4 linked regions of the Drosophila melanogaster genome follow. The protein of the gene in region 3 interacts with the protein of the main gene of each other region in a pairwise test. Each region holds a gene or a part of one and is shown on either strand. Other genes may lie near its edges. The genes, in order: CG30080, sle, CG10311 and Tsp33B.

Region 1 (7,338 bases), on a different chromosome or scaffold from region 3:
GCAGATCTAATGCAACTCTGTTTCAGTGTTCGTCTTAACGGCAGCTCACTGTGTTCCGGACGACTTGCTAATGTAATTAATCATTAAAAACATATTTATATATTACGATTATACTCAGTGTGAATCTAATTAAACTATTTTCTTAAAGAACCGTTCGCCTGGGAGAGTACAACACGAAGACTAAGGTGGACTGTGACAACCACCTGTGCCAGGAACCCTTCCAGGAGTACAATGTGGATATGGGCTTCAGGCATAGGTATTATAATGCGAATGACCAAACCAACGACATCGGCATGCTGCGACTCGGAAGGAGGGTGGAGTACTTAAGTGTGTCTAGTTAGGATATGAGTACGACATTTTTATAATATCGATGCATTTCACATATGCAGATCACATACGTCCGATTTGCATTTTCGCAAGCAACCGTTTCCAGGAGCCGATAGACCAGCTCACCTGGTTTACGACCACCGTTTGGCGTGAAACTGCCGCTAACGCAACGAGCAAAGTTCTTCGGACCATGAACATCGACCGCCAACCCAAAGAGACGTGCTCCGAAATCTATGGCTGGAATATGACGTTCGAACAGATCTGCGCCGGCAACACCTTGAGTCAACTCTGCAGCACCGACTCCGGGGCTCCGCAGATCCGCAAAATGTGGCACAATGGCTCAGACCGCTATGTGCAACTGGGCATCGCCAGCAGGGTGAAGGGCCAGTGCCAGAACTCTGGCATTCTCATGGATCTATTGAGCTACGCTGACTGGATAAAACGGGTGGTACGGCAATACGGACCCTCGACGGATATGAACCGTTCATTAAAGAAATGGGTCGATAAAATTCCAGTATTTTACTACCCGAAATAATATAATATCAATAGTAAGCTTTCATTGCTAGTCCTTGTTTAATATAATAAATTAAAAAGTTTAATGTTGAACAATAAAGACTATGTCGCATTTAACATTTCTATGTTTCTAAGCAAAGAAACTCAACAAATCTTGTTTTCCTTTTAAAAAAATTACAATATTATTGGCTTAATCTCAATTGACTGATTATGATTTTCTTGTTATACATATAACAAATCCATCTGAGTTTCAAGACTTTTTATTTTAGCCAAGTTTCGCATATATTTGTTACATTTCATGTAGAAAAGATTCGATCTTACATTGTTGGTTGAAAACCATGCTAAGCGTTGGTGATGTAAAATTAGGAGGATATGTATGTAGATTGAAAAATTGTTTAAATGCATTGTGTAATGTTTAAATAATTAAACATTTTTTAGTTTTGATAATACATTTTCTAGTAATTTTTTATTTATTTATTAAAACAATTTTAAAATACTGAAATACCGCAAAACTTAGTCGTATGTACCAATGTTCTTCATATCACTTGTAGCTCTTTTGCACGGAAATTTAATTTGCTCAAAACACTTGTTCCAATAAGCAAAACGTGATTGCTTATATTAGCTAAGGTCAGCTTCTAGAGTATGCCACGGATAAAGAAAGAAATTCGTGCTAAAGTCGTTTGAAATTGGCCCATTAAAAATGTTTTCTATAAACAAGTTCGGATCGCATGAAATTGCAACCTGTTTTGCAAAGAGTGCGAATAGCTCTTGCTAATCGATATTTCAGAGCCCTCCCGATCCCATGTTATCTGCAAGTTGAGCAAAATGGTTGTGTTCATATACATTGCATTTTATATTATATTTTCACACTAAAACTAATTTCTAAGTATTAACATTATAGCACATAAGTTAGATTAGTTACGATGGGATGAGCTATAGATAATTACACATGTTTCTTAACATTAACATTATTAACATATAACATAACATTATTTGTGCAGTTAGTTGATATGGCGATATGTCGTCGAGCCGGCAATATACACAACCGGTTTTTGTGCCGCACTTTCGAGAGATTCGATTGCATCGGACTAGGTTGAATCGATCTTAGTAGACCACGATGGAGCTACTGCATGGCGTGTCTTGGATGGATGTAGTGGGATCCGGAGTTGTTGTCCTCCCGGTAAATGGCGGTCATCAGGAGCAGCAGGGTGCCGGCGATCAGGGCTCTAAAGACTTTGTCAACAAATCGAATGTGCTCCATGTTCTGATGCTCGTCGACTGGTCGAAGCTTTGGAATTAGCAATCTTAGCGCGTCTGGCTTTGAAACGTTACTGAACGCTCGTCTTGATAGCGACCGGAATTTATTGCAGCTCCAAGCGAGGTGTTTTCCCCCTACTGAAGGTTGGATGGTGGAATTGCTGCGGCAAGGGTAGTTTCCCAGCCGCCGACTTGGAAATGCCCCAAACCCAATCGCGTTACGAGCACTTTACAATGCCACAAATTGTTGTATTTCAGAACTCTGAAACAACAAAGCGAAACCCCCCTCTCGGAACGAGATCGTTGACTGACTCTCTGCGTATCGCTATAATGAATTCAACTAACAAATTTTGGCATCGTCAACGTGCCAAGATTGCAAATCAAAAGCAATCTGTTTTGAAGACGAGGCGACGACGCATTTTCTTGGATCATTGCTCTTTAAAACTGACAGAGACTGGACTCGAGGAATCTGGAAGAATCGATATAGGGAGGGACATTTTTTTATATGTATATCTAATATCATTGTATCCAAACTTACCTAACATATTGCTGGAACTTGGGACTATGGCAAAATTGAATACAACTGCGCCACATGTTTTGCGAGATCTTTCGATATAAGGAAAGAGTATTTGCGGCGAGACTACTAGAGATCCGAATGGGATTCAAGGTCCAGTTAAGGGGAAAATCCCGCTCGATGTTCTGCAAGTGTGGCATCTCTCGATGAGTTCTCGTTTCGGACTGAGGATCAAGGACTATTTGATCTCAGGTAGGGGCGCAAGCAGCTGCATTTTCTTTGCGCCTCCAGATGCCCAGGGGTAGGTCATGTCCTTAAGAGCAGGATGGAGTGAGGATCAAATTCTTGTTACCTACAATTCGCAATATGGTTTACTCTTTAGATGTGTATCTAACCGAAAACCTCTTTATGCTAGTAATATGACTGATGAGCAAATCTTCTCTTAATTCAGTAAAAATTCAGCTTTAAGATACAATTATGTTAGCCGAAAACAAAGATATTAACAGAAATGGTATCAACGCATTCATTCTTCACCCTTTTTTATATTTAAAATAAATATTTAATGTTCTCTATCCTGCACTGCAGCATTATTTGTTTCTCTGTAAATTTAATCACTGCAATATGCAATCAAGCTACCTGTAATCAGATAATCCACAGAGATTCCTCTGAAGTTTGACTGTCTTCTGCATTCAGTTCATATCAGAGCTTGGTGGCGCAATGACGGTTTTGCAATTGCTGCTCCTGGTCATATGCCTTAAACTTGGTCAACAATCCGGACAAGCAGTTCCCTTTGGAAACCAAACAGAGAAGCCCTGTAAGTGCCAGCAGATGAGGGGTGACCTGTAGTAATGTTTCCCTCCCCAAGATCAAACATACTGCACCACCTACGATCAGAAGCCAGGCAAATGCTTACACTACAGAGAATGTTAGTGCATCGCGAAAATAGTTTCGAAGCCAAAGGACCAGCTGACCGCCAAGGACTTGGAAATAAAGAGGAATGCCCCTTGTTTTTCAAATTCTAAAGTGAGTGGTCATTTAACAAAGCGACATATGCTGATATTCCAATCTTTCAAAGAAATTCATTTGCTGTGAGGAATTCGTGCTGATTGCCAGTGAGAGTTCGTGCGGAGAATTCGGGGATCAGAAGATAACTGGAGGGAGCGAGATTCAAATGGGATCTCGACTTTGGATGGCCTTGCTGCAATTGAATCTTTCAAAACCGAATGAGAGGTTATCCTTTGCGTGCGGTGGCACGTTGATTAGCCCACTTATGTATTAAGTTAGTCCGAAACCAGGGAGTCTCGGTTAATATTTTAATATTAATATTAAATATTATTATTATTATATTATTATAAAGCAAACAAGATTATTAAATAGGTGACATTGATAAGATAATTCATGTACTTTAACATAAGCGAATAGGAAAAACAACTTAAGACCAATCTTACTTCGGACAGCCCCTAATGTTGAACGTTTTAGAGTTTATCAGGTATATTGCAACTAATTGCAAGCTCGTAGTTTTCATATGTCTTACGTTAGATACTTTCAAGCTAAATGGTTTGGTTATCTACGCTGAGGGCATCCACTAACTGGGAAATTCGTTGAGCTCGCGTCAATTTCCACGATACGCAGGACAAAGCCGTGATGAAGAAGCCAATCGCTATAAACCCAAAGTTCATCATAGGAACAATCAATTCAATAGCACTGTTACTCACCCATTAGGAGAATGGCCTCGGAAGTCTCATCCTGCCAGGCTTTTGAGACAACGCACAGTAAAATGAATCCGCTGAGCAGGCAAAAGGATCCAACTACGACGGCCAGTGTTATGAGTATGATCACCGGATCGTTTAGAGGACCATAATCAAAGAGTGTACGGCAGAGGGACGTTTTCCGGGGCATAGGAGTACCACTGTTGAATAAAAACTAACTAGTAGATTTGCTAATCCAAAACTGTGCACTACGAACCAGGCTTGAGAATAGGTGGGTAGAATGGGAACAGCTCTGCACTCCATGGCGCTCCTAAGGAAACTGAAGTTGGAGCTCCACACTAATGTTTTTGGGTGGCTGGCGGGCCCTACTTCTCCACATTCTAAATTTAGCCCTCAGTCGCGGCTGACGATCGCAGACGCGTGTCTGAGATTGGAGTTAGGGCGTTACATTATCTATTTATAGCCATCTAGGAAATGGTTCGATCCGGCGGAACTAGCGGAACAGATGTTTGAGTTCAGCCGGCTACTTCTGCAGTCACAATGCGTCTATTTTCGTATCTATTTTCTATGCAGAGTTCAATGCTCTGTGCGTTGAGCTGAAGAAGAAATCGAAGATCCCGAGAAGTCGTGTAATGTAATAAATCAACTTCATTACTGCCTCATAAACGTCGAAAAAGGAGGCGTGGCGGGGGCGAACAAGTGCGAATCATTAACTCGATGTCTCGAAGTTCACGTTTCGCATGTGCCAAGGTAGCGTTGACAACCGACACGCGCAGTTTCCCCCCGCATTTTCCGCCCATCACCGGCGTAGTTATAGAAATATACTTGGCTGCTGCATTCAAGCGAGCTGTAAATTATGCAAAATAACGACGTCAAAGTTTCAATATAATGAAGCCAACGGACTGGCGGGAGTTTCGGGGCCCGCAGGTTGGGGAATATTATAGTCTGAAATTTCATCCCTAATGTTTCTATGCCATTAAGCCAAATAGAAAACGAAAAGCAACTTATGTGCCATAATGTTATACCTTTAGATTCCATGGATGCATGAGGGTGAATTTAAAGTTTCATTTCATGCACGTACTTAAGTTTTAAATGGTTTCGAAAGTATGTGAAACGACTAGTTGTGAGTTACCATTAAATATATTACTTTACAATTGTTTAATTGAATTTCGGGTGCATGTAAAAACTCTAAGGTTTCTTTACAACAGTTGAATGCTAGAGGTTATAACATTTTTCCCCTTGGTTGTGGCCTGAGACCAACACTCAATCACTGCCCCAAGTCCTGAAGACATAAAAATCAAATCGAAGCCGTCGCCATAAACAATTATGAACTTTGTTGCACATTGTTGTCCACACATGGCCACACGGATCCTGCTCCTTGTCGTCGCCTTGGTTACATTGTAAAACGTTTTATTGTCGCCACCATCTGGCGACGATTTGTTGGCAGCAGCGCACCGCCGCCAGACGCCCAGCCACCCACTGAAACCACCGAACCCACCAGAGGTGCCAATATATCCTTTTTCTTGCTTATTTCAAACCCATTCAGCTAATGGAAAAATACCATTCCCGGTTGGAAAGGCATAAAATATGACCTGATATGTATCTAATTAGAAAAATTACTCCAAAATAATATTTAAAAGTTTTTTGATAATAATATTTTAAAATTATTTTGATAAATAACCGTACTTCTTTTTTTAATTTAACTTTTTTTGCTTATTTGCTCATCACTGAACCCACCCTAAAAATCCGATTTCAAGGTGTAAGCCGGCGGCACGACGACAACTGTTATGCTTATCGGATGCTTTCTGAATAAGAATAAGAATTCGGATGCGGATGTGGATGTGGATGGGACTCGAGTGCGGATCCCAGGCGCTGAGGCAAATTGCTGCTGATTGTCAGGTTCAGGCGACGCTGCGTAAATAACTGAAAGTGGTCCGAGGTGCCAACTGCCTTTGAGCCGGACCCAAAAGTTTGGCGAAGCACATTAGACGGCGATGGCCAAACTTCGGACCGATTAAGTTGGGAGTCGCAATGAAAAGGGCAGTTGGCAGTTGGCAGTCGGATGATGGTGATGCTGAAAATCTTATCGCCGCACAAGAACCCGTTTCTTTTTAGTGCCGCAATCAGCGCTGTTCACTTGCAATGGCCGTGGCAGGACAAATATTTTACTTTTACTCTTTCGCGTCCGTTTCGAGATTCATTTTTTCTTATACCGTCTCCGTTTCTGACTTTAACTTTCCGCCCCACTCCCCCCAAAGTTGAGCTCTCTAATGCGCTGCAAAAGTGTGCCAAAGACGCTGACAGCGAAATCAAACACAAGTCGGTTGGAGTACATATATATAAACGGACAAGCAGCGGAGAAGGTCCTGCAGAAGGTCCGAGGAAAGGATGCACAAAGTTAAAATTAAATTAGCGTTTTTTCGAGCTACGCAGGGTAGCAGGGCGATGAGAGGTTGGGTCATTCTGGGCCACGAAATGAAGTCCAAGGGCACGCGATTCTCTGGGGAATGCAGGGTATCTATGGGTCGAATCCGAATGATTCCCACTAACAAGGTATTCGCATCCTAGTGCCACTGTCTGTCACTGCCTGCTACTTAGCCAAATTAAAATTTCAGAGCACCAATGCGCTGCACGATGTTGGGCTACATAAATAAGAAGCTAATTTGAAATAACTATACTAATATCTACATTTTTAAAAGTTATAAACTAAATTGGTACCAAACAAATGAGCTTAATTAAATATGTGGTATTCCTTCAGATATTTTATAAGTTACAAAACTAGTTGTGTTATAATGAGATTCTGTCAAGGGATCATCGTAACTTGTATTTTCTTAATTTATTTAATTTAAATTTGAAATATTGGTAGAGCATTAATCCTTCGACTCGCGAACTAAGCAGTTTCGCTTCCGTTTCGCTGTTAGTGTCCTTTTAGCGCTTCGCATTTATGCTTGTTTAAGCAAACGCCGTGTTATCGTCCGGATCCGGATTCGTGTCCGTGTCCGTGTCCGAGTCCAGTCG
Region 2 (9,472 bases), 6.0 Mb from region 3:
ATGGCAAAGAGCAAGGGCTTGCGTAACAAATAACCAATAGAACAAATAATAGAATCAAATTCAATCGGGGAAATGCTAATGAAAAGAAACAAAAACTGAAGTATGCATTGTGTACACTTAACATTTCCACTAATTTTTCTCTAAATGTAATGTATCCTAAGATCTGCGAGCAAAGATCTGCTCCTTGAAGCGCAGCGCCGCCTGTTTGGCGGAATTGTGTTCGACCTTTGGTGCTGCGTGCTTGGCCCGCTTCCTTGACATCCCGGAGGGTCCTGGCTCCTCGCGGAACCCATGCATTTTCGGTGTGGGCGGCAGCTCGCGGAAATACTTCTGTTTGGGTGTGCACGGCTCAACTCGAACCATGCCCGAACTTGTCTTAATCAGCTCGATTATGGGAACTTTAGTGGGCGGCTCATCGACCACCGTCACGTAGCCAGCATTTGTTCGAATACGATGGCCGTGGTTCTCCTCATCGGAACTCTTTAGCGGTGATGCCTCCTGGGGCTTTTGCTTCTTCTTCCCCTTCTTCTTCTGTTTGGCTGATTTCTTGTCCACCACTGGCGGCTGTGGCGACAATTTGCGCGAGAGCGTACGTGGCTGCGGAGGAGCAAGGACTTTTGGTTATACTCTTATTATTTGTAGGCGACTAACTAACGCTTACCTCTGCTTCGGTGGCTTTTGGTGGCGCCAGAAGATTAACAGCATGACTCACAGCCTGGCGCGCTGCCTGTAGGCGCTTTACATCCTTCTTCAGCGCCGGTGGCGCTGAATTACCTTCTTCAGGTAATTCCGACGCAGATGGTTTCTCAGATGAAGTAGTGGGCTTTTCTTCAATAGGAACTTCACCATTCGAGACTTCCCCGTCGCTGTGATGTTCCTCGGCGACAGTCATTGTTTCGTTTTCGTTGTCCTCCTCCATTGAATCCGTGGAAGCACCATGTGAGCTCTTAAGGCGCTTGCGCTCGTGCTTAATCTCCATTTCCTCAAGATCCTCTGGTGCGCCTGATAGGCTTTTCGACAGGCGCTTGCGCTTGTTTTTCTGCCTCTTTTTCTCGGCCACCATGTCAACAAAGGACTGCGAGGGGCAGAAGTCATTGCCAACTTCAACCCGTTCACTACGGCGTCTCAGTTTGGGATTCTTGGCTGCCAGCTCGGGACTGGGGACATGTAAGGACTGGCGGCGGGATTTCTGTAGAGGGTTAAACATTTTTTCCAAATGGCTTAGATCACTAGAGGCCAATTCGGCGAGCAGAGCTTCTTCATCCGCAGTTGAAATTATGGATTTTTTGATTGTGGAAGGGCTTTTGATTTCAGATGGTTTATCTTCATCAGACATCTCGGTTTCGGCTTGTTTGTCTTTATCAGACTTCCCGTTTTCGGCCGGTTTGTCCTTATCAGACTCCTCGTTTTTACCAGCCTCCTTAGGGTCTTCAGTTTCATAAGAATCCATTATTTCGTATACGCTTTTGTTGCCTTTGGCTCCAGACATTTGGTCCATGAAAGATGTAGATTTTTTAATTTCGGAATGGTTTTCGCTTTCAGCTGGTTTAGCTGCATCACTTTGGTCTTGATCTTGCTCTTCCTCGTCATCAGAATCCACGATTTCGTACAGGCTTCTGTTGTTCTTGGCTCCAACCTTCTCTGTCTTCTCCTCCTCGTCGTGATCCGAGGAGTCTACCTCCATGACGCTGATATCGAGTTGCGTTTCTGTCTTGTTAAACCGCTCCGATTTGTTCAGTTCGTTGAGAGCGACTTGGCGAGATCTTTCCAGCTCGGTTTCCGAGATGGAAGATTTTTCCTCACTGACGTTTAACAGTTGGGCCGCTTCGCTCAATTTACTGGCATTGGATGAGCAGTTACTTTGGTTTTTGGGCTTCTCTGTTTTGTTCTCACTTGAGTCGTCATTGGTCTGAACTTTTCCATCATGTTCTTCATCACTGGGGCTCGCTATAATAATGCGGCGACGTTTCACGCTATCCTTCTTCCGAACCGGTGGTAAATGCTTCTTGGTCTGGACCTTCTTTTTGGGAGTTCTTTCGAACGATTTCTCCAACTTAATGCGTTTCCTCATCTGTCGCAAACCTATTCTCTCAAGTTCTTCTGAAAGATCCGAGAAACTGTCCGAAATGCGTTTGCGCTTCGAAAATTCTTTGAATTTGCTGGCCACAGAAGAGGATAGCGACGAAGACAGTTCATCCTGGATGTAGGCTGCATCGCCAATTTTTGCATTGACTAAAAGCAAAAATCGAAATAGGATACTAAATCTTGAGAATAGAATAGCATTTTACTTACAAATTGTTCGCATTGCGAAATGGTGAGCCATATGTGAAAAAATATGAAAAGTTTTGTGCAACATGACGGACAGGCAACCGCCAGCCTACTTTTCCAGAGAATTGTCCCCGAATGTTCGGACCCGTAATAAAAAGTTTCCTCCTTCATTTTGTATTTGTATGGGTAGGCTTTATTTTCTGTTTCTCAGATGCTCAAAAAAAAAGGGGACAAGTTCGAAAATTTCTTAATTGATTTCATATCTTGATTGGATCAACAACCAACTTGCTAGCGTTAAGTGTGGTTAAGTGATGTGCAATTGAACAAAATAATAATATATGGCAAAGAGCAAGGGCTTGCGTAACAAATAACCAATAGAACAAATAATAGAATCAAATTCAATCGGGGAAATGCTAATGAAAAGAAACAAAAACTGAAGTATGCATTGTGTACACTTAACATTTCCACTAATTTTTCTCTAAATGTAATGTATCCTAAGATCTGCGAGCAAAGATCTGCTCCTTGAAGCGCAGCGCCGCCTGTTTGGCGGAATTGTGTTCGACCTTTGGTGCTGCGTGCTTGGCCCGCTTCCTTGACATCCCGGAGGGTCCTGGCTCCTCGCGGAACCCATGCATTTTCGGTGTGGGCGGCAGCTCGCGGAAATACTTCTGTTTGGGTGTGCACGGCTCAACTCGAACCATGCCCGAACTTGTCTTAATCAGCTCGATTTTGGGAACTTTAGTGGGCGGCTCATCGACCACCGTCACGTAGCCAGCATTTGTTCGAATACGATGGCCGTGGTTCTCCTCATCGGAACTCTTTAGCGGTGATGCCTCCTGGGGCTTTTGCTTCTTCTTCCCCTTCTTCTGTTTGGCTGATTTCTTGTCCACCACTGGCGGCTGTGGCGACAATTTGCGCGAGAGCGTGCGTGGCTGCGGAGGAGCAAGGACTTTTGGTTATACTCTTATTATTTGTAGGCGACTAACTAACGCTTACCTCTGCTTCGGTGGCTTTTGGTGGCGCCAGAAGATTAACAGCATGACTCACAGCCTGGCGCGCTGCCTGTAGGCGCTTTACATCCTTCTTCAGCGCCGGTGGCTGCTTGGACGATTTCGCTGTGTTGGTTTCCGATTCTGAGCCGATGGTGCCCAGGAGCTTGGATGGCGCTTGCGCAGCAATTCGCTTTGGCTTCTTTTGCTTTGCTCCGCTGGCAAGATGCTATAAAATATAAGCGAATTTAGTGTGAATCGTAAAGGAGATTTTTTATTTAAGAAACTGACCTCTTTCTTTTCCTTTAACTTAGCCTCGTTGGCAGCTTCCAGGAGGTTGTGACAGTATGCCAAGTAATATTCGGCAGTCTTCTCCACCTTGACCGGCGCCATACCCTTCGGTTTTGAAGTCACAATTTCTGTCGGTCTTTCCTCGGATCGCGGTGAATCGCAAGTTTTCGGCTTCTCCATGAGAAGCTCCTCAACGGCGACAGTTTCTTCTTCTTCAGGTAATTCCGACGCAGATGGTTTCTCAGATGAAGTAGTGGGCTTTTCTTCAATAGGAACTTCACCATTCGAGACTTCCCCGTCGCTGTGATGTTCCTCGGCGACAGTCATTGTTTCGTTTTCGTTGTCCTCCTCCATTGAATCCGTGGAAGCACCATGTGAGCTCTTAAGGCGCTTGCGCTCGTGCTTAATCTCCATTTCCTCAAGATCCTCTGGTGCGCCTGATAGGCTTTTCGACAGGCGCTTGCGCTTGTTTTTCTGCCTCTTTTTCTCGGCCACCATGTCAACAAAGGACTGCGAGGGGCAGAAGTCATTGCCAACTTCAACCCGTTCACTACGGCGTCTCAGTTTGGGATTCTTGGCTGCCAGCTCGGGACTGGGGACATGTAAGGACTGGCGGCGGGATTTCTGTAGAGGGTTAAACATTTTTTCCAAATGGCTTAGATCACTAGAGGCCAATTCGGCGAGCAGAGCTTCTTCATCCGCAGTTGAAATTATGGATTTTTTGATTGTGGAAGGGCTTTTGATTTCAGATGGTTTATCTTCATCAGACATCTCGGTTTCGGCTTGTTTGTCTTTATCAGACTTCCCGTTTTCGGCCGGTTTGTCCTTATCAGACTCCTCGTTTTTACCAGCCTCCTTAGGGTCTTCAGTTTCATAAGAATCCATTATTTCGTATACGCTTTTGTTGCCTTTGGCTCCAGACATTTGGTCCATGAAAGATGTAGATTTTTTAATTTCGGAATGGTTTTCGCTTTCAGCTGGTTTATCTGCATCACTTTGGTCTTGATCTTGCTCTTCCCCGTCATCAGAATCCACGATTTCGTACAGGCTTCTGTTGTTCTTGGCTCCAACCTTCTCTGTCTTCTCCTCCTCGTCGTGATCCGAGGAGTCTACCTCCATGACGCTGATATCGAGTTGCGTTTCTGTCTTGTTAAACCGCTCCGATTTGTTCAGTTCGTTGAGAGCGACTTGGCGAGATCTTTCCAGCTCGGTTTCCGAGATGGAAGATTTTTCCTCACTGACGTTTAACAGTTGGGCCGCTTCGCTCAATTTACTGGCATTGGATGAGCAGTTACTTTGGTTTTTGGGCTTCTCTGTTTTGTTCTCACTTGAGTCGTCATTGCTCTGAACTTTTCCATCATGTTCTTCATCACTGGGGCTCGCAATAATAATGCGGCGACGTTTCACGCTAGACCTCTCAGCTTGTTCAGATTCTTCAGCGTCTTCAATTTCATCCTCGCCAGAGGAGTAGCAAAGCTGTCCTAAATCTTCCTCGTCTTCGTTGTCCGATACAATAAACGAATCGTCGCCATCAGATTCTTCTGGGGTAGACTCCTCAGTATCTTTACTGCCAACGGACTCCCCATCGATTGGAATTTCATTCTCCTCCATTTCCCGGCGAAGCGAACTGTCCATCGAATCTCCAGACATGTAATCTTTCCCAGCATCTTCAGCTTCTAGGTCCACAAATTCGGAAATGGATTTGTCTTCTTCGTGCTCCTCCTCGTTTTCTTCTTCATTCCCGTGGTCTTCAACATCTTCCTCAAAGCTTTCTAGACGAGCCAGGATTTTATTCTCAGCCTTTTGCTTTGACATGGGTGATTGTTCCACCATCTCATCCTTAGCATTCTTTGATTCCAGCTCATCGAATGGCTTGATAGCATCAATTTGAGGAGGTGCTGGATGCAATTCCTCCGTGCTGTTGGACAGGCCACGTTCCTGATCTTTTAATATTGGTGTGGAACTATTACGACCCTTTTGCAGAGCCAGTTTTAAGGGCGTCTCCGGCTTGGGGGTTAGAATGCGACAAACTGGCACCTTCTCACGTCCTGGAGTCTTGGGAAACCGTTTCTTTTCTACCTCTAAGTCATCAGTGTCGTTGTTGAAGTCCACCGATTTTTTTTGCTCCACAGCAGGAGAACGCACAGCACGAGCTCTTATGCTGGGCAGATGTATAACCTCGGTAACATCGATTTTGTTTTGCTTGTCATCATCCATTGAATCATCTGGGTGTACTTCCTTACTGTCTTCGACATATTTTGGAGCTTCCGACGGAAATACCGGCTCATCGTCGTCGAGGTCTACAAACTCCAGTTCTTTTGGTTTCTCTACTGGCTCATCGGTTTGTGGCTCTAACTGAACAATCGAATCTTCTGCATCCAAAAACTCTTGGTCCTCCATGGACTCATCTTTTTCTGGGCTTGTGTCCATTAAGTCAACAGTAGAAACGTTTTGTGGAGTATCTCTTTTCTTTTCTATTTGAGGATGATCAATCAGTTGCTGAGTTTCTACTTTGCTTTCAATTATAGGGGGTTCAATCTTCTGGGGAGTTTCGGTTTTCGTTTTAATTTCATTGTCTACCCCAACGGGCTCGTCTTTTTCTTTAATTTCAGGAGTGCCAACAGTATGGACTTTCTGCAGAGTCTCGATTTTTCTTTCAACTTTGGGGGACTCGACGCGTAGTGTTTCAAACACATCATCCATGTTTTCTTCAATTTTCTTGGATGTCGAGGTTGGAGTTATTTTTGTAATTGTATCTGCGCTCTCATCAGGGTGAAGAGCTTTACTTGAACCTTGAATTTTCGAAAGTGTAGTAAATGACTTCAGGAATGATTGTTTGCCAGCATCCTTGTCAGGTTGGGCTGATTCGTGTGTTTCTGGTGCCTGTGAATGGGCTTCAGTGATAGATTTATTTTGCTCCTCAACAACTCCATTATCCTTGAGTTCATCCGGTACAATCAATGGCTTCGCCTTTTCCATCTTCTTGCCAGAGAATTTGTCCATTGAAAGTTTCTCGAGCCTGACTGCCACTTTGGGAGTGGTTTTAATATTGGGTTTAGCTTTTTGCTCAACTTTGGGTGAATCGTTAAGATCACGAGGCGTATTACTGGACGAACGAGTGGGCATTGGTGGAGTCTGAGACATTGAACGCGTCACTCGTTTCTCATCACTCTGCTGATTGGGTGTGAGTGTTCGCCCTGGACTCGGACTGACACTGGGCTTCCGCTGTGCCTTTCCCTTGCCCTCTTTGGGCACAGGGCTTGGACTGGGGCTGGGCTTTTCCTGCTTGACCTCATTTTCCTCAGGTTCCTCTGTTAGTGTAAGCTGTTGGCGCACAGATCTGGTGTTTTTAGCTGGCGTGCGAGCTGTCCTTTTCACGGAAGAGGGCGTCGTCGGCTCGGGAGTTTCACCGCGTGCCAAGGATGCGCGCCTGGTTCGTGTTGGAGTCCTCACATCTAAAGTGGACGAGTTCAGACGTGTGCGACGTGTGGCACGTGGCGAAGCGGTACCTTTTGAAGCGAGAAATAATATTCTTAGACTTGAAACAACCGGGATCCGAGTTGGGCCACAACTTACCGAGTTCCGCAACCGTATCCAACTGCGGAGTGCTCGGACGACTGTCCGTTTCCAGAAGGGACAAGCGACGAGTTCTAGCCCGGGTCACTACCATATTTATTGGATTAAACGGATAAACGAAAAAATGAATAATGTGTAAGAATAAATTTTATTCGATCGAATGCAAAGGCGACCTGCTTGAGATAGGAGCCCCCCGTTAATGGCTGACTTTGGAGCGCCGGTTTACTTGTCCCGTTGCTTTTTCAGCACAGCACGCTTAGATTCACTCACCGCGCTTTCCATCTGTGTTCTCCGTATTATCATCCATTTGGCCCGGCTCTTTTGTTTTTCGCACACAACAATTAATTGAAATCAAGAGAGTTTCGAACCCGCATGCAAATTATAACAAAGAAATAGAAACGAAGACGCCAAGACGCCGAGCCAAAAAGTGATTTTCACATGTGCCGCAAACTGCGACGTTCTCTAACACTGCAGCCGGCTGTTGAGCATTTGTGTGGCGGCCGTTAGAATTCAAACTAGTATAGTTTCGGGGCTAAATTCAATGTGTCGATAGCCTAATATCACCTTCAACTGATGAATTATCTTAAATTAAATTTTATTCGAAATTAGGTTTCTATCTTCTTATTTTAAGTGCAAAATCACTTAATAGTTCGTCCGATTTAGACGCTGTGCAGCATTGGCCTGTTTCGGCACCGATAAAGTAGCCGATATCATTTAAGCGGAATTATCGCGAAATCTAAATTTAAACCATGACCAAACCGCCAAGACTTCTTGTAACGGTTGAATAACTGGATATTAAAGCGATGTGTTTATACATATGTATGTATTTATAAAAGTACAAATATTTGACGATAATCATTTTTATATTTAAACAAAGAGTATTTTTTTAGACAATTCAATAATAAAGTGTAATTTCTATTTATTTGCTTAGTGATTATATTCATAATCAGGCTGTTAACATTAAGTTGAAAACATAATTAATGGCTAGAGCATATTTTGCTTTGCTAACTCCGGATTAAACTGACTGTTGTACTTTTGGACAACCTTAGGCGTCGAAGCCGGCGTGGATTCGGCACTGGCAGCCACCGGCAGCTCCTTGGGTGCGAACAGAGCCTCGGAACGCTGGCGTTCCGCTGTTTCCCGTCGCATGCGCTCCCTTCTTAGCGTCTCGAGCTTTTCTCGTTTTATGCGTTCCTCGGCCAAAAGGGTCTCCCTTGAACCATTTTTGCTCTTGTGCTTCTTCTTATCTTTCTTGGATTTCTTGTCCTTGTGGGGTATTGAAGGTTCCTGAGAAGGCGCGGGTGTCCTTTCGCGAATTCTTTTTGTGGCCTTTTTGGGATCCTTTTTTTCTGGCGGCAACAAAGCATTAATTAGGGTCAGAGGATCGTGGGCTAGCTTTTGCTTATGATGAGTTTCAGTAGCTGTGGGATCCCCAACTTCTGGTCTTTTGGGGGCTAACTCGTACCAGCTGCGCACTTTCAAAGCTTCATTGGTGTCCTGGCCCAAGTAGGTGAGGTAGCCGATCTGCTTCTCATACTTCTCCTGCTCCTCCTTTTGCTCCTTTTCCAAGTCTTTGTTAGTGGTCTTCACTCTCGCCTTGTAGTCGGCAAAGAGATCCACCCCTTTGGTTGTTTCAGTACTGCATTGCGACTCCTCTCGAGATTCCTTGGAGGCCTTCTCCGGCAAGCCCGATTGGCGGCGCAGGAAGTTGATTCGTGCCTCGCTTTCCTATTTGATAAAAGTACACATTACTATGTTAAATTGACGATATTTGGGCAATACCCACAGCAAATTCCAATTTCTCCTGCCGGACTTTTTCTTCTGCTGCGGCAGCCGCTTGATCCCGGCGCACGCGGGCAATGTTCTCCTTGGTACGCACATGCCAGCTAAGAAATACACGTGAATTGATGAGAGGTATCTTTAGAATCAGTATAAAACTTACCGTTTTTTTGGTAAAATATTCATTTTATTTCCACTTTGTTGACATTCCTGTAATCGATTACTCGATAGGCATCTCTGTCTATCGAATGGCTCTGAATTATCGAATGCCCTAAGCGCAGTAGGCCGAATTTGTTGCTCTCTAGCTTGAAAAGTGGACTATTTTATTTATTTTTTAAATGTGTTTACTTTGCTGACTTGACGTGGCCACACCCACTTACACTCGCGCGCCCCCTGGGCACTCGATTAATTTTTGGCATTCACAGGCGATTGCTAGCAATCGAATGGCAAACACATCTGTCAGAAGGTAGAAGAAGAAGGGGCAAAACGAAGAAGAAGAAGAAGCACAGAGCTCTGTTTCGCAGCAATTATTTTCCGAATTGAATTGCGAAAAAAACCCCTACAGAGTA
Region 3 (9,831 bases):
TGATATTTCTGTCTTTATGGTTTTTAGATCAATTTTTCGGTTTTTTCAAAATTTATTCAGATCAGTAAAATACAGTATTATGGGGGACTGCGCAGATGCAAAATTAGTTAGTCGAGTTACGGTGCCACCAATACCGAAACTTGGCGACATGCACATGTATTGGGTGTGGCGAATGCTGATTAAATCATATTTGGATGCTATAGGTCTTTGGTCTGGAAATCACCCAAAGGAGGTAATATATATACTGTTAATAAATATGGTGGTTAAATCTGCACAATTCGTTATTTTAAGAGCGCCCATACAAAATTTGTGCTGCTGAGCACGTTGGAAATATGGGTTGTAAGAAGGGAATACGATGAAATGAGCAGCAGGTCCATTTTCGAAGATCTCGAGGAACGATATGCTATCACTAACAATGACAAACGAGGTCAGTTGGCAATGGATAGATTTATTTAAAATCAATAAGATTTGTTTTTATTAGACTCTATGTACAACTTTTGATTGCTGCCTGGATTACTACTGTAGTGTAATAAATCTCAAACTTCAATATATAATTATATATATTTATAAATTTGGTGAAAATTGTCGATCTCGGACGGTTGGATATTATATTCATTTAAAATTTGTCATGGTAAGCATGCATAAAATTGTACAAAACACATCACACTAGCTTAAATCTACTTTCAATGAAATTATATTTTAAATATCAACCGAAGTCCCGGGAAATATACCAGCTGTGCTCATTTTGAGCACACCAGTGCTGCCCATCGATTACCACGCGTTAGTGCCTGTGCGCATCTAACGCGTTAGTGTCTTCCAACTTTTGACACATCGTTCAATAAAAACAAATCAACTTCGAATGCTCGAAAAGCAGCAGGAATATTTAATATAACGCTAAACAACTTAAATTTACTACTCTCAAAAGTAGAAGTGTATCAAAATTGTAGCTATTTTCAGTCGAGAACCAAGAAGGAGCCTTAAAAATGACACGTAAGTAAGGGCATCATGAAGCCATTTTGTTAATACTGCACAATGTATTAAATGTGCATGTAGATCCACATACATATGTATATCTATCTATTCGTCTAAATAACAAATTAACTAGGATTACCTCCAGTGTCATGCAAAATCGTAATCTCCAAAATATGATAAGAGAATTAGAATTTCGACCCGAAAGTAATCCTGGGTTTTCGCGTATAGAGCAGGCAAAAATCGATGGACAAGCAGAGGACATGTGAACGCCTCTAACCTCTCATAGATTATGTAGATCACATTTAGCACGCGCCACTAACCAGCTGCCACGTATTAACCAATTATAATATCACCAATTTAATAGGCGGCAACCAACGAGACCTGGCCCGCCAGAAGAACCAGAAGAAGCAGGCGGATTTGACCAAGGGAAAGCGAACCGATAACCTCACCGTGGAGCAAAGGAAGGCCAGGTGAGTGATTTACATTTTCAATGTATAATGTATAAGATATAATATTATTAATAAACCAACCCATAACGCAGGGACGCTGAGTTAATGCGGGAGAAGCAGAAAAAAAAGGAAGAGGCCGCTGCGGCGGGCACAAGCAAATAGTCAACCCACTGGCTTGATAGAGATCTGGACTCCCGGTTGCATTTCCGGACAGGTTAGGCTTATAGTCAGTCGTTCGTCAGCCAAGACCCCGATTCGCCCAAGGACCTAGGATAGTTGGTTAGAATGTACATGAAGCAACATACATAATTCACGAGAATTGTATACAACTACGCATAGATATTACCGGGCTGTACAGCACGCGACATAGCAATAGCAATAGCAAGTGCCACCCAAGGACTTCGATTCTGTTCCGGTTTTTGTTCATTTTCGTTTGCAGTGCTGCTGTACGATAATTAAGTAATCTTACATTTTATTTCTCCACCTACCTGACTAAATTATTTACTGTAATGTATATATATAAATTTTCAAATAAAACATAATATGCAGCCGACAGAAAGACTCAATTATGTGTTATTGTGTTTGACGAAAATATATATATAGATTATGGCACTCGATAACGGTCGATTGCTACCGAAAATTAACTTTAACTAATGAATCCCTTTTCTAGCAAATATGGTCGCCGAAGAGAGAGATATAAAGATTGATAATCCCAGAGCAATCCCCATAAGTATAGCTCAAGAATGTTAAATATAAGCCTTAGATCTTTAAAATCGGAGTATGAATAGGGCGCTGGATACGACCTACTAAACTTCCTGGTCTGATTTAAGCATGACCTAATGAGGTATTTAATTTGCCTCGAGTCATGCTGAAATTTGCATACAATGGAATATGGATATTTGTAAATGGCACGATTTGATAAATATGAAAGTAGCTGCATGCCAAAGCTTGCCCCACAAAACTATCGCCTAGATGCCAATAAGTCGATTGCTAGCATTTACCTTTTACAGAATAAATGACCAAAAACCTGGCCACTAACGACTGGCAGATGCACACAAAAAACATGCTGCTAAATAAAATTTCAGTTTTAGTTTAATTTTATTTTATTTATGTATAAGAAAAGATATCAAGAAACAACAACGAATTTTGCGCAAGACTGGTAAACTAAGTCATTGAAACTTAAATACTGTGACTTTTATCTTTTGGAATACCTATCTGTTTTCGAATAGATCTTCATACATTGTGCCACAGTGCACGGTCTTATTCATGGCCAATAAAGGCAGATGGGGTCATGGCGTGCTGATGTATCTTCGGCTGAAATCTCGAGTTCCTTCAACGAGGAAAACAACACGGATGTAATGAGAACGTCCACTGATTTGTTTGACTTGGCTAGTGCAATGCGCTGTAGAAGATCGCCTCACCATTGTTTGACCAAGTGCTTGATATCTTCATGCCGGAACAGCAGAGCAACGTGGGCCATCGAAACGCCTAACTGGTTTCTGCTGTTTCTGCCTCGGAGAAAGCTTCTTGCCGGTCACGCAAAAGCTGTCTTAACTAAAAACAGCGTCCAAGTTTTGAGAACTTTTCAGCCAGCTAGCCGAGAACGAGCGGAAAAATCAACTAACGCTCGCAGATGTGAAAAATCGCGATCGCGAGTCGGCTCTCACGTTGGCGGCAGCAGCCCGCGTTTTCAGTCGCTCCGTGAAACCCGTCGCACTCACATCGAAATCGCGCGCAAGTCGTCGGATCCAAATCGCCTCGAAACGCTACGCACTTGGAGGAGGCAAATATCAAATATATGAGAATAATTAGTTAGGAGGCAGCCGAATCAGCGGAATCAAATCGATTTCCCTCGACTGCATTTAGCAGTGCTGCACCATCAAATCAAAAATAAATTAGAAAGTGTAAGTGAATATATGGCTGGCTGCCAGGAGACTGACATTATCAGCGGAGAAATGCAGGCAGTTGGCAGCCGATTGGGCGGATCGGGAGATCAATCGATCGCCGTCGCATGCAAATCGAGTGATAAACGATCGCCTCGAAATTGAAATAACAGGCGAGCAGCTGGCCCCCGGAGGTGGATACATATGCATATGTGTGATCAAACAGAAGTGTTTCTCGGGGAAGGGCGGCGTGAGGAGTGGGAGGAGTAGGTAGCCCCCAGTAGCCATATACTCATATACCTATCTATACTATACAGCCAGTTACCCGACTTGAGGCGCGCTCGTCTGCCTTGCGGTTGTATGTGCTTATTTATACAAAATATATTCAATTTCATTAAGCTGTCGCTGCTGGCTGGCCGTCCAGTAATTTCAATATTCAAATGATCGCTGATAGCTAAACCCCCTGACTTTTTTACTTTTCTGAGCGCCCGCAAAAGCTGCGGTAAAATTGAGAAAACCGCAGCGTATAAATAATTGGAAAACAATAATGCCACTGTTTGATCGCTGACCCAAATTGGCAGAGAAAATGAATGCATCTTAATGAAAACAGAGTCAGTCTGTTTGCTGCAGGCATAGCGATCTATATAGTCGATGCACTCGGTGATGTCAGAATTGCGAACTGACATTGAAAGTCTGCGAACGGCGACAACCTGAAAGCCTTCTTCTTTGCCTTTTTGGGGACCTCAAGTTGAACACGTTGCGAGTTTAGGGATAAGTGGGCCATCCAGCCCAGTGTTCAGGTGTGCGGGGGCGTATACGTAATATGCGCGCCTGGCATACATTTCAACTGAGCCACATTTTGGCTATTCGCCTCAGTCGCGAACCATAAAAATCACATCAAAGCCCCAAATGAAAGCGTCGTTCATTGAATCTTAAGTGGCCACTCCTCCTGGGAAGTAATTATAAAGGGAAATAAACGGTCTTCAAGACAAAACTGTTTCTAATCCATCCACATTTGGCAAAGTTCAGTGACGCGCATCCACTTGGAAGCAGTGAAAAATGAACAATGTGAAGGTTACTCAATTTACAAGGCAACAGATAACGCCACCAAATTTTATTTGACAAAAAATATTCTGGCAGAACAAGCCAAGGCGTTCGCACACCTACGCCATACGAGATGGCACATGGGCGTAGAATTCTCGACGAACAGGTGTTGAAAATCATAAGGTGGAGTCCCATTCCTGACCCCAGACAGCCACTGATCAGAGATTGTGAGAGCTGTTCCAAAAGTTCCACCGCTTTTGTCGACTCTCTAGATTTCTAGTTGCTCGCGACCTTGTGATCTATTAATAAGTGTTTCGTGTTTTTATATATGAATCATTTTGATGGGCGATCTGTTTATGAGTTAACTTTCGTTTGGCTGGGAAAACGAAAAGCCCAAAATCCGAAAGATCCCCGAAAATTGAGTTTTTGATCGCGTCCAATGTCGCGGCTTCATTGACCCTGAAAACTATGTAGTGTCGACAGAACGAAAAGTATCTCATGGATGCGCGCACATTTGTATCTTGCGTCTAAAAGACGCCGCTGCCACTAGTAATTACAAAATCTTGTTCGGCAAACGGAAACTTCAAAGGCTGCAATTGAGTTTGCAGCTGCAACGGTTTTAATTGATTTATATGGCAAGTCGAGTAATGTTTAAAAAGCCGCGGAAAAAAGCCAATTTGACAAAAAATCAAAGACAAAAAGTCAAGTGGGAGCTGGAATAGCAGAAATAAAAAAAACAAAAAAAAAACAAAAATGCGGCGTGCTTTGGACCTGTCAAATTTGGTAGAACGATTTCTACCGGTTTCAAATGGACCTAAATAAATGAAAAAAAAAAACAGACCCGGCCACTCAAGTGAGCTCCCACTTTCTGTCGAAGATTGTAGATTGAGCAATTTCCAGCCACATACAAAATGACTTTGTCTTTTCGATAACTTTTGTGCCTGGCGCAAAAAGTAGCGCAGAAAAATGTCAAACTTAATTACGCGTTGAAGCGCAAACTAATTGCCGAGTGGATTTGCGGGCTTCAGCGGGCAGCAGGGTCACAAAAGTTCGAATGGCGATAAAGTCGACAACAGCCAAAGCCGAGAATAATTGGCTTTGGCTCCGTTTTGCGGCCCACGACAACAGATAATAGCCGCACACAAAAAAGTATCTGTCAGATATACATATTTAAAAGCTGGACACGTGCTCATTGCACACGAAAATTAGCATTTACTTGTGGATCGAACCCATTTTCCACAAGCATAAAGGCAATGGCAATTGAAATGATTTATATGAGCATTATTTCACTTCGCTTTACTAGACAAATGGGTCAGCTTATGGTTAATGGGATACGATAAATGATTACTTGTGTTTTTATAATTTGAATTTTATTGTAAATACTTGTAGTTAAAATAATTTGTATTATAAATTTTTATTGAAAGTTATTATCTCATATAAAGTAATAACAATAATTACAATATGACTACGTTCTGAGACCATTCTACTATTTCGTGGTCTGACCCACAAATTTTGCAGCCTGCGGTAAATGTTTTTTGTTTTCCTTTTCTTGGCTTGCATTTTCTAAAGCCACTTTCTAAAATAAATATAAAATATTGATGTATTCCATGAAAAACGTCAAAAATTCATGCTTGAGTAAGTGCATTCCCAATGCCTTTTAATTTGTTTGTCGACAAACTTTACCTTTCACAAAACCGGCAGCATCCGCCACACTTTTACTCCCACACCATCACACTTCAGACCCAAAGCAACTCCATCCAGCTACGTAGTGCACGTCCAACTGCCCAGTTGCACTTGTCAAGTCAGAAGACTTTCCAAGACTCCAAGCCTACGTCAAGTGGAGGCACGAATTCCTCGGAAAGAGTCGCCCACGCCATGGCTTGAACTTGACTCCAAAAGCTGCGAGTCACGCCTATATATACATATAGTAAAACCACTTTGTGTGAGGCGAGCGGAAGTCAACGTCAGCATTAGATGAGTTCATTGCGAATATTAACGCCATTAAACGAATGAGTGGGCTGATCGCTTCCATATCGAGGTTGTCTACCCCTTTCCACTGATATGGAGAAGTCTCTAATTGTTCGCCGAGGTCTAAAGTATCTTAGCTTTACTTGGGTTTGTTCTTCTAACCAGGTCAAAACAGCGATATCGCATTGCCGCAGAAAGTAACCCAAGACGTTTGTCTGAGTTGTAGAAACCAGACAAATGCTTTCTGCTCGGATCTGTATCCAATTGAGGTACCATTTATAAACAGACGCAAACGTGGAGATCGTCTGAGTTAAAAACCCGTGCGAAACGCGTGTAAACGGCATGTTAATGCGCCATATGTCCGGTTTATGAGCCCCGCCGCCAGTTTGTGACGAAACTATAAAAAAAAGTTTTTGAACTGCTATAATTTAAAGAATGTGATGTGATCTTCGGCACGCACCCTCACCGCCGCCCCTGATAATTGCGCAATTTGTATAACACTTCTGTTGCCCAGATTGTTCGCATCTCTTCACTGTGTTGTTGTAGGTCGTTTGAGGTGTGAAACTCAGCGGAAATGGGCTTTACATACAAATGGTATCTGTAAATGTATCTGTATCTGTTCGCTAAACTTTAGTTGTTTGCCCAAGGCATTTCCCAGCCAGCCTTTCTATAATGACTCAAAGCGTTTCCATGTAAGACAAGATATTTTGGCATGTGATTATCTCATCCAAGACCGCCGTGAGCCACATGTATACATCAGATATATCACATGGATACACAAGTGCCCGCATCCAATGGATGCAAACCAGCTGCAGCGGCATTTGCAAGTGCCAACATGCGCCACATCAATCTGCAGCCGGTCCGAGGCACGTTGAGCGTTTGATTAATTTAATGACAATGCCCGGTGGCGCTATTTCGCTATCTGGATAGATGGGTGCAACCCACATATGTATACTCGTACCAGTTCCGCCGATCGTGTGCGCATGCACCGATGATATAAACTTTCCCAAGCTCGCCATCTCTACTGCCATTCCAGCTCGAATCCCTGAAGGAATAGTACGATTAAATTAGTCATTCGTGTCGTTGATTTATTTTAGAGCTTCCATAAATATAAAGCTTACGTCTTTCAAGTATTTCACGCTTTCTGTCCATTGTTTTCTTTGTTTCTTCTATTTTTAAAGCACATTTGTTTAATAAACATTTATTTTTTTTGTGTGCTTGACGTCACAACTGGTAAAACTGTGGAATTTTAATGTTGTAGTATTGGTTGTCTTTACTTTTGCAATAGTTCGGATATTTCAATTAAGTTACAAAACATATCTTTGTCTAGTTTTACATGAGTATATCGAGAACTTACTCACTATTCTATTGCTGTGTTTTTATTCTTTTAAGTTATATGTGTTCAAAATGGTACTTGAAATTGATGATTGTGTTTCTTAATATTTTCAGCTGGTAATCACAATATAGATTTGCCAAAATGCCGAAGCCACTGTTAAATTCGTGCTGTCTGTGCCAATCGACCCGGAATGGCTCCGTTATCTCGGGCATACTGGCGATAGTCCTGTCGATCATCACCATCGTGGTGATCTTCACGACGCGGGTGCACTTCAAGACGATAATCTTTGACTTCATCCCCAATGACATTGTTAAGATAATTCTAGTCATCAATTTGTGCATGACGATCTTGATATCGCTGCTCATGATCATTGGTGCCCTGAAGGTGTGTACTCAGCTAATTTAATTAAATGCATACAATAAAAATCTATCTATGTTCCAGCGGAACCACTACCTGATGGTTCCATGGGTGGTCCTCGGCATTATGATTGCCATCGGTCTGCTGATCTCCGTCATCTACACGGGCATCGTCTTCTTCATCGACGGCTACGTGCTGACGGGAGTCCTCTGGCTGATCTTCGGCCTAATTGTCTGCGGTAAGTGCACTCCCTCTTGGTTGGTGAAAAATGGGTGAGGGGGGGGGGGGGGTCTTGCTACTTCTCCATGTGCGGTTTTTAGCACCGGATGACGGTTATTGCGAGCCGTTTTTAATTTATAGACGCATTTATCATGCCATGATTGCCCGTGTGCTGAAAACAGAAGTGCCCCGGCGCCGCAGACTAGAGGATTTTGGAGGTAACTTGCCGGGTGGTGCAAGCAAATGAGGCGCAAAGTGGCTTGTTGAGGCCATTTGTAGAAATGTCAGCTGCAGAACTTTGATAGGAGTTTATTGGGAAAGCTATACGATTGTTAAATAAGCTCATTAAATGAATCAAACAAATTTAATTGTATTAATTCAGCGGTATAAAAGTTAAAGAACCGAATCACATTGTGAATGCTTCAGGTTTATACATATATTCCTCGCTTTTTTTTTACTTTTGAAAAATGATATTTTTCAAGTTTTACAAATTTGCATATTAAATTTGATAAAAATTAAGTGCTTACCGAAAATGAACCACATACGAGTTAAAAGTCAATTTACATTACATCGTGTAAAATCGGATGCAATTCATGTAGAATATAAAATGACAGCACTCTTTTGCGCGCACATGCCCTAACCCAATGTTCCTCCTCCATCTTTCAGCGATTATGACCTATTGCTGGTGCGTGGTCTATAGTGAATACGCCAACCTGTCCGAGGAGAACGAGCGCGGTCGTTACAACAAGCAGCCGTACCGTCGCTAGAATCTCCAGGAGCACTATTCATCAGAAATTGCATTCAAGAAGCTGAATCCACCACCCACACATCTTCATCCTAGCTTCCTATGTTCGTTTTTAGTGATTATGTCTAACTAATAATTATAATTTAGTTGAGGCGAGCCAGCCCTTCGCTCACATCGAATTTACGCGGCCCGTGGCATTAAGTGCAATGGAATTATGTATTTAACATTTAAATAAAACTTTAATCCAGATATTATGTGAATTTCTGTTGTAATTTGTACGTAATACTTGTAATTGTGAAAGAGGAGTTCAAAAACCGAAAACTAATAACAAAAATAAAAACAAACTATTTATCAACCGTTTGAGAGGACGAGGTCTTGTGTGTTTGTTGTTTTTTATTTCAAAATATAGGTTTTATCTTTAGGCATATATAGTTATATTCAATTCTCTCAAAGTCTATCAAAATTGTAAATTAACTAAAAATATGGATGTGTAGGGGGCGTTTCATGTGGTTGTTGTTTTAGCTAAGTGGGCGTGTTCCATGTAACTACACAAGTAACTGACTGCGCTCTACAGCTCGCTGCGCGAGTACTTGGGCTTCAGCTCCTCGATACGCTTGATGAAGTCGCCCTTCTCCAGGCAACCGTCACAGCTCTCGTCCCAGTCGTTGAGGATTTTCTTCAGGTCGCGTACCTTCAGCTTCTTCAGGTCCACGCTGTTCAGATCGATTTGTTTCTCTGCAATGAACAATCCACATAAATAAATGTTTATAGAAGTATATTAAGGCGAAGAGCAGCGACAGAAAAGCTAAATGTTAAGCCAAGTTAAGAGTTTTTGTTTCTAATAGACACCCTAGATTA
Region 4 (5,734 bases), on a different chromosome or scaffold from region 3:
AACAATACACAGACAAACTGACAGACACACGACCCACACATTATGCTTCCTTTTAAATGCAACATTTTATACATTTAATTATCGAGAATTAAATGCTTAAAATACAATTTTAATTTAATTTAACAAACTGTAACTGTACACGAATAAACGGAAAATGTAAAACTGTTTGTTTAACCATTTAAAGACAGAACTTGGTTTTATTTAACCTAATTTTATTGATTCACGATCATCGCAGCAAAGTGCACATTTTGAATACACTTAGAATGCAGGGAACAATTGAAAATTGAAAATGAAATTATCATTGATATGCATGTATTTTGCTTTCACACTGAAAATAATTGTTTTCGAAGTCGCAAACACACACTATCACACGTCTATAATTATGTAGTTGAGTATCCGTGTTAGTTTTTGGGTGTTTTTGGATTTTTGGTGATGTGTATAGAGCGCAGTATATAGAATGCATATAGAGATATATATTATTGTACGATTATTGACTAATATATAACGGATATGTATGTGTAGTACGTGAAAGGCAAGTTTATGGAGACAATTCACTTGTGTTGCAATATTAATGAACAAACGAAATAATTTACTTGTAAGTTGCGTAGTGCAAGCCGTGAGAATAGAGGTAACTTTCTCCACAACCCACACTCACTGATCGACAGACACATACCCATTAACCTTAATGATTAAACGCTGGGACAGCGGCAAAAATGTTTCCTAGGAGAAAAATTAACAGAAGCTGAAGAAAACGCTTGGAATGCCCCAATTAACGTAAACATTAAAAGCAACAAACAGTAACAATACTAAATAGAAACAATAATGTACTATAAATCAGATACAATACAACACTATATATACCTAAAATATATATGCCTATACGACAGAAATTGGACAACAAATGAAATATATATATATATAGTATATATTGTACAAGTTACGAGTAAAATGTAATTAAAATTTATGAAGTAGTAAGCACTAAACAAAACAAATAAATGAGCAGCAAAAACGCGCAGCATAAGCATAAAACCGGATTTTACAAGAAACTGAGTAACCCTGAGTAGAATTATATTTTTTGGTTAAGGATATTATTATGATTTCGTATCTCTGGGATACCCCGAAAACTATCGCTTCGTTTTCCCATCTCCAAAAGGATAAGTCGTTTAGGTAGCGCGAATTCCGCCCGATCTGCCTGGAAACCCACCCCTAAATGACCTTCGCACTAGGTAGCATCGGACTACTGACCGTGGCAACTGCGTGAATTCATTAGTATTCCAAGTACCACGATCGAGAACAGACCGCAGATGACGTCCGCAAGCGATACAGGTAAGGAATTGGCTAAAAACGAAAAAAAAAAAAACAATACAACTGAGCCTATTAAGACGATCGTCCTTCAACTTTTTAGAACCCACTGCAGTAACGCTGCTCCAGCTGAATGACGATGTCCTGGCTTTGATCATCCGCCAGCTGGACACGTACCAGCAGTTCCAGATTAGCAGGTTGAACAGGCGCTTGGCGGGCGTAGTGCACATGCTCTGGGAGACCCGTGTTCGCAACGTTGTCCTGCAGGACGAGATGTTCGGACGCTCGGGAGCCAATTCCCGACAGTTTGTGGCTTTCATCTTGGCCCTGGCTCCGCACATGCAGCACCTGAGTTGCAAGCAGTTGGATGTCCGAAGACTGCGACTGCTCAGTAACCACACGCTGGAGAGGATTCACTCTTTCGAGTGGCTGGGCAATGTGTATAGACGGAGACGCGTTCGCTTCGTGGATGAGGATGTGCGAATGCTGCAGAGGGTATTTCCCAATCTAAAAAGCCTCAAACTTAGAGGCTGCCAAATTACCGGAAAATACCTATGCGACCTGGATGAGCTTACCGATCTCCGCCTGCATGATTGCCATTTTCTGGAATCGCAACACTTTAGGGACATCTTCCGGCAGCTGCGACTACGCAAATTTGACATAATGGAGGACTGTGACGAGGTGAACTGCTGTGATCTGGCGGATCTGCAGCTGTGTCCCACACTGGAGCATATCAAGATTGCGGATTACCACGTGTGTATGGAGTCGGATATTACGCAGCAACTACTGACATTGCCAAACCTGCGAAAGCTGTCGATCTATTCCAGGAACTTTGTCTTTGATGTCCTATCGAGGATAGTTAGTCCCACAAGTCCTCCCGGCGATGGCCGACAAATTGAGGCCTTTAGTTTCAGTGGAGTTTTGCACGACTATGGCCGGTTCTTCAGGGAGCTGGGAAATCTTAGTCACTTGACGCGACTGGAGCTGCACAGCCAGCCAGAGGAAGAGGAGGAGAAGGAGGAGGGCGTCCAGGTGCAGTGCCTGGGGGATCAGATACTGCGGCAGCTAGCCAGTCAACTGGGTGAGCTAACCGAACTCCATTTGTGTGGCTATCAGTTGGAGAGTCCTTTGGGCCTGCTGGAATTCGTGATCAATTGTCGACAGCTGAGAGTCCTCGACATCACTCGAACCTTCTGCCATGGAGAATCCTTCGTCTGGAGGTGTATTGCCATTTTGGCCAAGCAAAGCTGGCGCATTCGCCCTCTAGAGCTGTGGATCCGGCATAGCGATATCAATCCGGAAATAGTTCAAAGTTCGCGCTGCGTTGATAACATAAGGCTGATAAAGGTGGATGCAAAACAGATTGGACCCAATACGGACTACACATCTGGCGTACTCAAGTTTAGCTTTGTGCGGTAAACCGCTGCCCCATGAGTGGGATATGCTCCAACTGATCAAGCTCCAAAATGAAAAGGTTTTAAACTGAAATATAGTTAAGTGTATACATTTATCAACTGCTTACCAAATAAAAAGATGTAAATATACATATTTGTAAAGCGATTTTTCAATGCATCATTGTTTTTACTGCCCTTAGGGATAAAAAAAATTAAATTCAAGTTGTAGTACACTTTAAAATTCAAACACCCAAGTCCTTGCAATCAGCGTCAATCCAAATGAAATTCGAGTTCAGAGCTAAAACCTCGTCGACAAGCCAAACTTTGGATCGATGCCCACGAGGATGACCAAATGCGCCAGCCCTTCCGCCGAGCCTCCGTCTACCTCCACCTGCTGTTAATAACCGAGGCCGTGATCGGACTGCTGATCCTGGTGGTGACCGCCTACTACCACACCGTGCTCACCGGCTATCTATCGGATATTGAGTGCCGCCTGGTCTACGGCTATCTGTTTGGGATCTACGTGTTTGGCGCCCAGGTGGTGGTGACCTTTCTCTGCAGCATTGCCATGTGGCGGCGAATTTGGCGGCGTCGCTGCACGCCGAACATTCGCCTCTTGCTATCCGTGTGGGCCTTCTACTCCTGCGTAATCATTGCCTCCGGTTTCGGGTGCGTTTGGAATCTTTACCGGGGTGTCGATGTCCTCGAGAATGCGGCGGACACCTCGCTGACCCGCGGCATCGACATGTACTACTCGTGTCCCGAGTGGAAACTCCTGTGGGACGGACTGCAGTGGCACAAGGAGTGCTGCGGGGTGCATGGCTACAAGGACTGGATGAACGCGGAGTGGATGCCACGGCGGGAGAATAACTGCACGTCGATGGTCCTGGCACCCTTCGCCTGCTGCAAGCGCTCCTGCGACAGCTGCTTTAACAATTTCCTGCCCAGTGAGGGGCAGTCCATCGGTGGCAATAGCCGGCAGCCTTTTCCCGCTCTCACCGTGGACTCAATCAATGCGAACGGATGCTTGCCTGCGTTCGTTAGTGCGGTGTGGAACTGCTTTTACATCCTGATGGCGTTATGGGTCCTGGCCCTTAAGTTTCTGGTAAGTAATTGGTAATGGGCAACGTTTTAAAGTCAGAACAATGGTGAATATTGGAGCCATATTCATTAAATTCTGTCAAATTCATTAGCGTAAGTCATATTGAAATCAAAAAATTTGAATATGCAACAAAATTGTATTTTAAGATAAGACCTCCCTAAGTCAATCATCTTTTTAGATCGTGCTTTGTTGTATGACCAAGTTCATAGTTCACCGGCAGAACGAGGGCGATGGCTGCGATAATGTGGGACTCACGGACGATGATGGACATCCCTTGGTCGTGGTGGTGGGTTTATCCATTTACTATCCATCGATAGCACCTAAATCAGTCCATTCCCCAGAAATATCCGTGTAACGTGCGCTGTGTAACAATTGCCGAGGATGATCTGGTATCCGACAACGTTCCCGATATTAACTACTGCAATTGCACCGAAATGGACGACGAACCGTGTGGATACTAATATTGTGCTTAATTTTACTTTTATATTTTATATTAATTTAATTAAATTTACGAATTTGAGTTAACTTCATATCCAATCGGTGAACGCAATATATTATTTATTGGATATTATAGGATACTTATTACATGGATGTTGTAACATTGGATGTTAAATGGATTAACGGCGCATCCTCTTGGATTTCTTCAAAGTCTGACCCACCAGTTGAGCAATATGTTTGCGCAATGCCAAGAAAGGCTTCAAGCAGACGCGCTGCTCGACGAGACCCACAGCAATGCGGTGAAAGAACTCGGTGACATCCACGGGCTTGGCCAGCAGCTGACCTTGTGATACCGAGCCGTTTTCCTCTGAGGCCTCGGGCGTAGGGCTACGTGCCATTCTACGGATGAATGGTTCCAAGTTGCCCCTGCTACGTTGGGAAACGCGAGCTCCAATGGACTCTGATAGCGCATTATTGGCGCGAGAGAAGGTGAGACGCTCCTGAGATCCCGAGTCGTTTTGATCCGGAGTCTCTGGCTTCTGTATCACCAGTTCGGGTGAGGTGGGGTTTTTCTTTGGAATTTTCGGAAACTCGGTAATTTCGGTAATCTCCAAAGCACTGTGGGGACGTCTTCTGTAGAGAATCCGAACCCGTTATTCCACGTTCTACATTACGAAACTATAACTTACGGTGTACCCGCCTCATAAGTGACATATGGGGACCAGTCTGCCCCATCCAAATCCATACTAAAAGGTTCACAAAATGAAGAAAAATGATTTTGTTTTATAACATTAAATTTACTCACTCATCTTCGTTGGAACAGTCATCATCTTGATCACTTTCCCTGATTATAAGGCAACTTAAAAATAATCTATCAAAACATTATATTAAAAAGACTTACACAGAAGACTCGCAGGTAATCTCGTCACTTTCGGGAGCACTAGAAAGGAAATACATATATTGTCAGTGTTTTTCTGAAGCTAAATTAATGAAGTCTTACGTAGCTTCTTGATATTCATCATCATCGCCCACAATATGAGGAACCTTTGATTGGGACCTGCAATGAATAATCCATCAATATATTTAATGAACTGCTTTAATTTTAATTACATTTTTAACAAATTTTCAACGCCTAGCTCCTGGAAAATGACAATGTGAAAAGCCGTGCGGCCAGTGTGTCCACTCCAAGGAATGTTTAATAAGAACATCAGTGTTGATCAAAATACTGTTGAAAACTTACTGGAGCATATGTAATTAATATATAAAATTCAGTTAAAGCTCAAGTCACGTGTTCTTAACATTTAGTAAAAATAGAAATTTATACTAAAGGTTTTGGTAAATTTGAGCCTTAAAATTTTGGTTAAGTTTAGCCTTAAAATGGCAGTTAAACATAAAAAGTTTAAATTCCTATAAAAAGACGTACCAGTGTTGTACAACAGGCTTAATTTACAAACTTCCAAATACAAATGTAATTATACATATTTATGTAAAGTCAAGC

Evidence for each region.
Region 1: the proteins of CG10311 (region 3) and CG30080 interact in a two-hybrid assay, tested with the Drosophila melanogaster proteins (one large-scale study listed by BioGRID).
Region 2: the proteins of CG10311 (region 3) and sle interact in a two-hybrid assay, tested with the Drosophila melanogaster proteins (one large-scale study listed by BioGRID).
Region 4: the proteins of CG10311 (region 3) and Tsp33B interact in a two-hybrid assay, tested with the Drosophila melanogaster proteins (one large-scale study listed by BioGRID).

The regions. Positions count from the first base shown.
Region 1 is NT_033778.4:15,697,053-15,704,390, forward strand, and holds CG30080 (uncharacterized protein), read right to left. Parts: upstream 4,645-7,338; 5' UTR 4,624-4,644; coding exon 4,577-4,623; intron 4,521-4,576; coding exon 4,327-4,520; intron 4,272-4,326; coding exon 4,162-4,271; 3' UTR 2,812-4,161; coding exon of another isoform or gene 2,636-2,811; intron 2,567-2,635; coding exon of another isoform or gene 2,536-2,566; 3' UTR 2,102-2,535; coding exon of another isoform or gene 1,964-2,101; 3' UTR 1,674-1,963; downstream 1-1,673. Other genes in the region: CG33462 (uncharacterized protein), read left to right, coding at 27-72, 149-327, 390-862; CG42662 (uncharacterized protein), read right to left, coding at 1,964-2,101; CG46433 (uncharacterized protein), read right to left, coding at 2,536-2,566, 2,636-2,811.
Region 2 is NT_033777.3:10,331,236-10,340,707, reverse strand, and holds sle (slender lobes), read right to left. Parts: upstream 7,594-9,472; 5' UTR 7,432-7,593; coding exon 7,395-7,431; intron 7,312-7,394; exon of another isoform or gene 7,219-7,311; coding exon of another isoform or gene 7,212-7,218; coding exon 7,125-7,211; intron 7,058-7,124; coding exon 3,549-7,057; intron 3,487-3,548; coding exon 3,265-3,486; intron 3,201-3,264; coding exon 2,763-3,200; 3' UTR 2,443-2,762; downstream 1-2,442. Other genes in the region: CG12592 (uncharacterized protein), read right to left, coding at 157-597, 662-2,232, 2,293-2,305; CG12818 (uncharacterized protein), read right to left, coding at 8,109-8,852, 8,911-9,010, 9,067-9,089.
Region 3 is NT_033777.3:16,350,294-16,360,124, reverse strand, and holds CG10311 (uncharacterized protein), read left to right. Parts: upstream 1-3,109; 5' UTR 3,110-3,325; intron 3,326-7,765; 5' UTR 7,766-7,793; coding exon 7,794-8,036; intron 8,037-8,093; coding exon 8,094-8,247; intron 8,248-8,894; coding exon 8,895-8,995; 3' UTR 8,996-9,339; downstream 9,340-9,831. Other genes in the region: CG42446 (uncharacterized protein), read left to right, coding at 17-232, 292-427, 482-501; CG17931 (uncharacterized protein), read left to right, coding at 984-990, 1,337-1,442, 1,514-1,583; Manf (mesencephalic astrocyte-derived neurotrophic factor), read right to left, coding at 9,542-9,708.
Region 4 is NT_033779.5:11,789,618-11,795,351, reverse strand, and holds Tsp33B (tetraspanin 33B), read left to right. Parts: upstream 1-2,986; 5' UTR 2,987-3,048; coding exon 3,049-3,801; intron 3,802-3,976; coding exon 3,977-4,084; intron 4,085-4,139; coding exon 4,140-4,259; 3' UTR 4,260-4,327; downstream 4,328-5,734. Other genes in the region: CG14937 (uncharacterized protein), read left to right, coding at 1,305-1,326, 1,406-2,721; CG14932 (uncharacterized protein), read right to left, coding at 4,416-4,869, 4,926-4,982, 5,042-5,080, 5,138-5,176, 5,237-5,293, 5,347-5,348.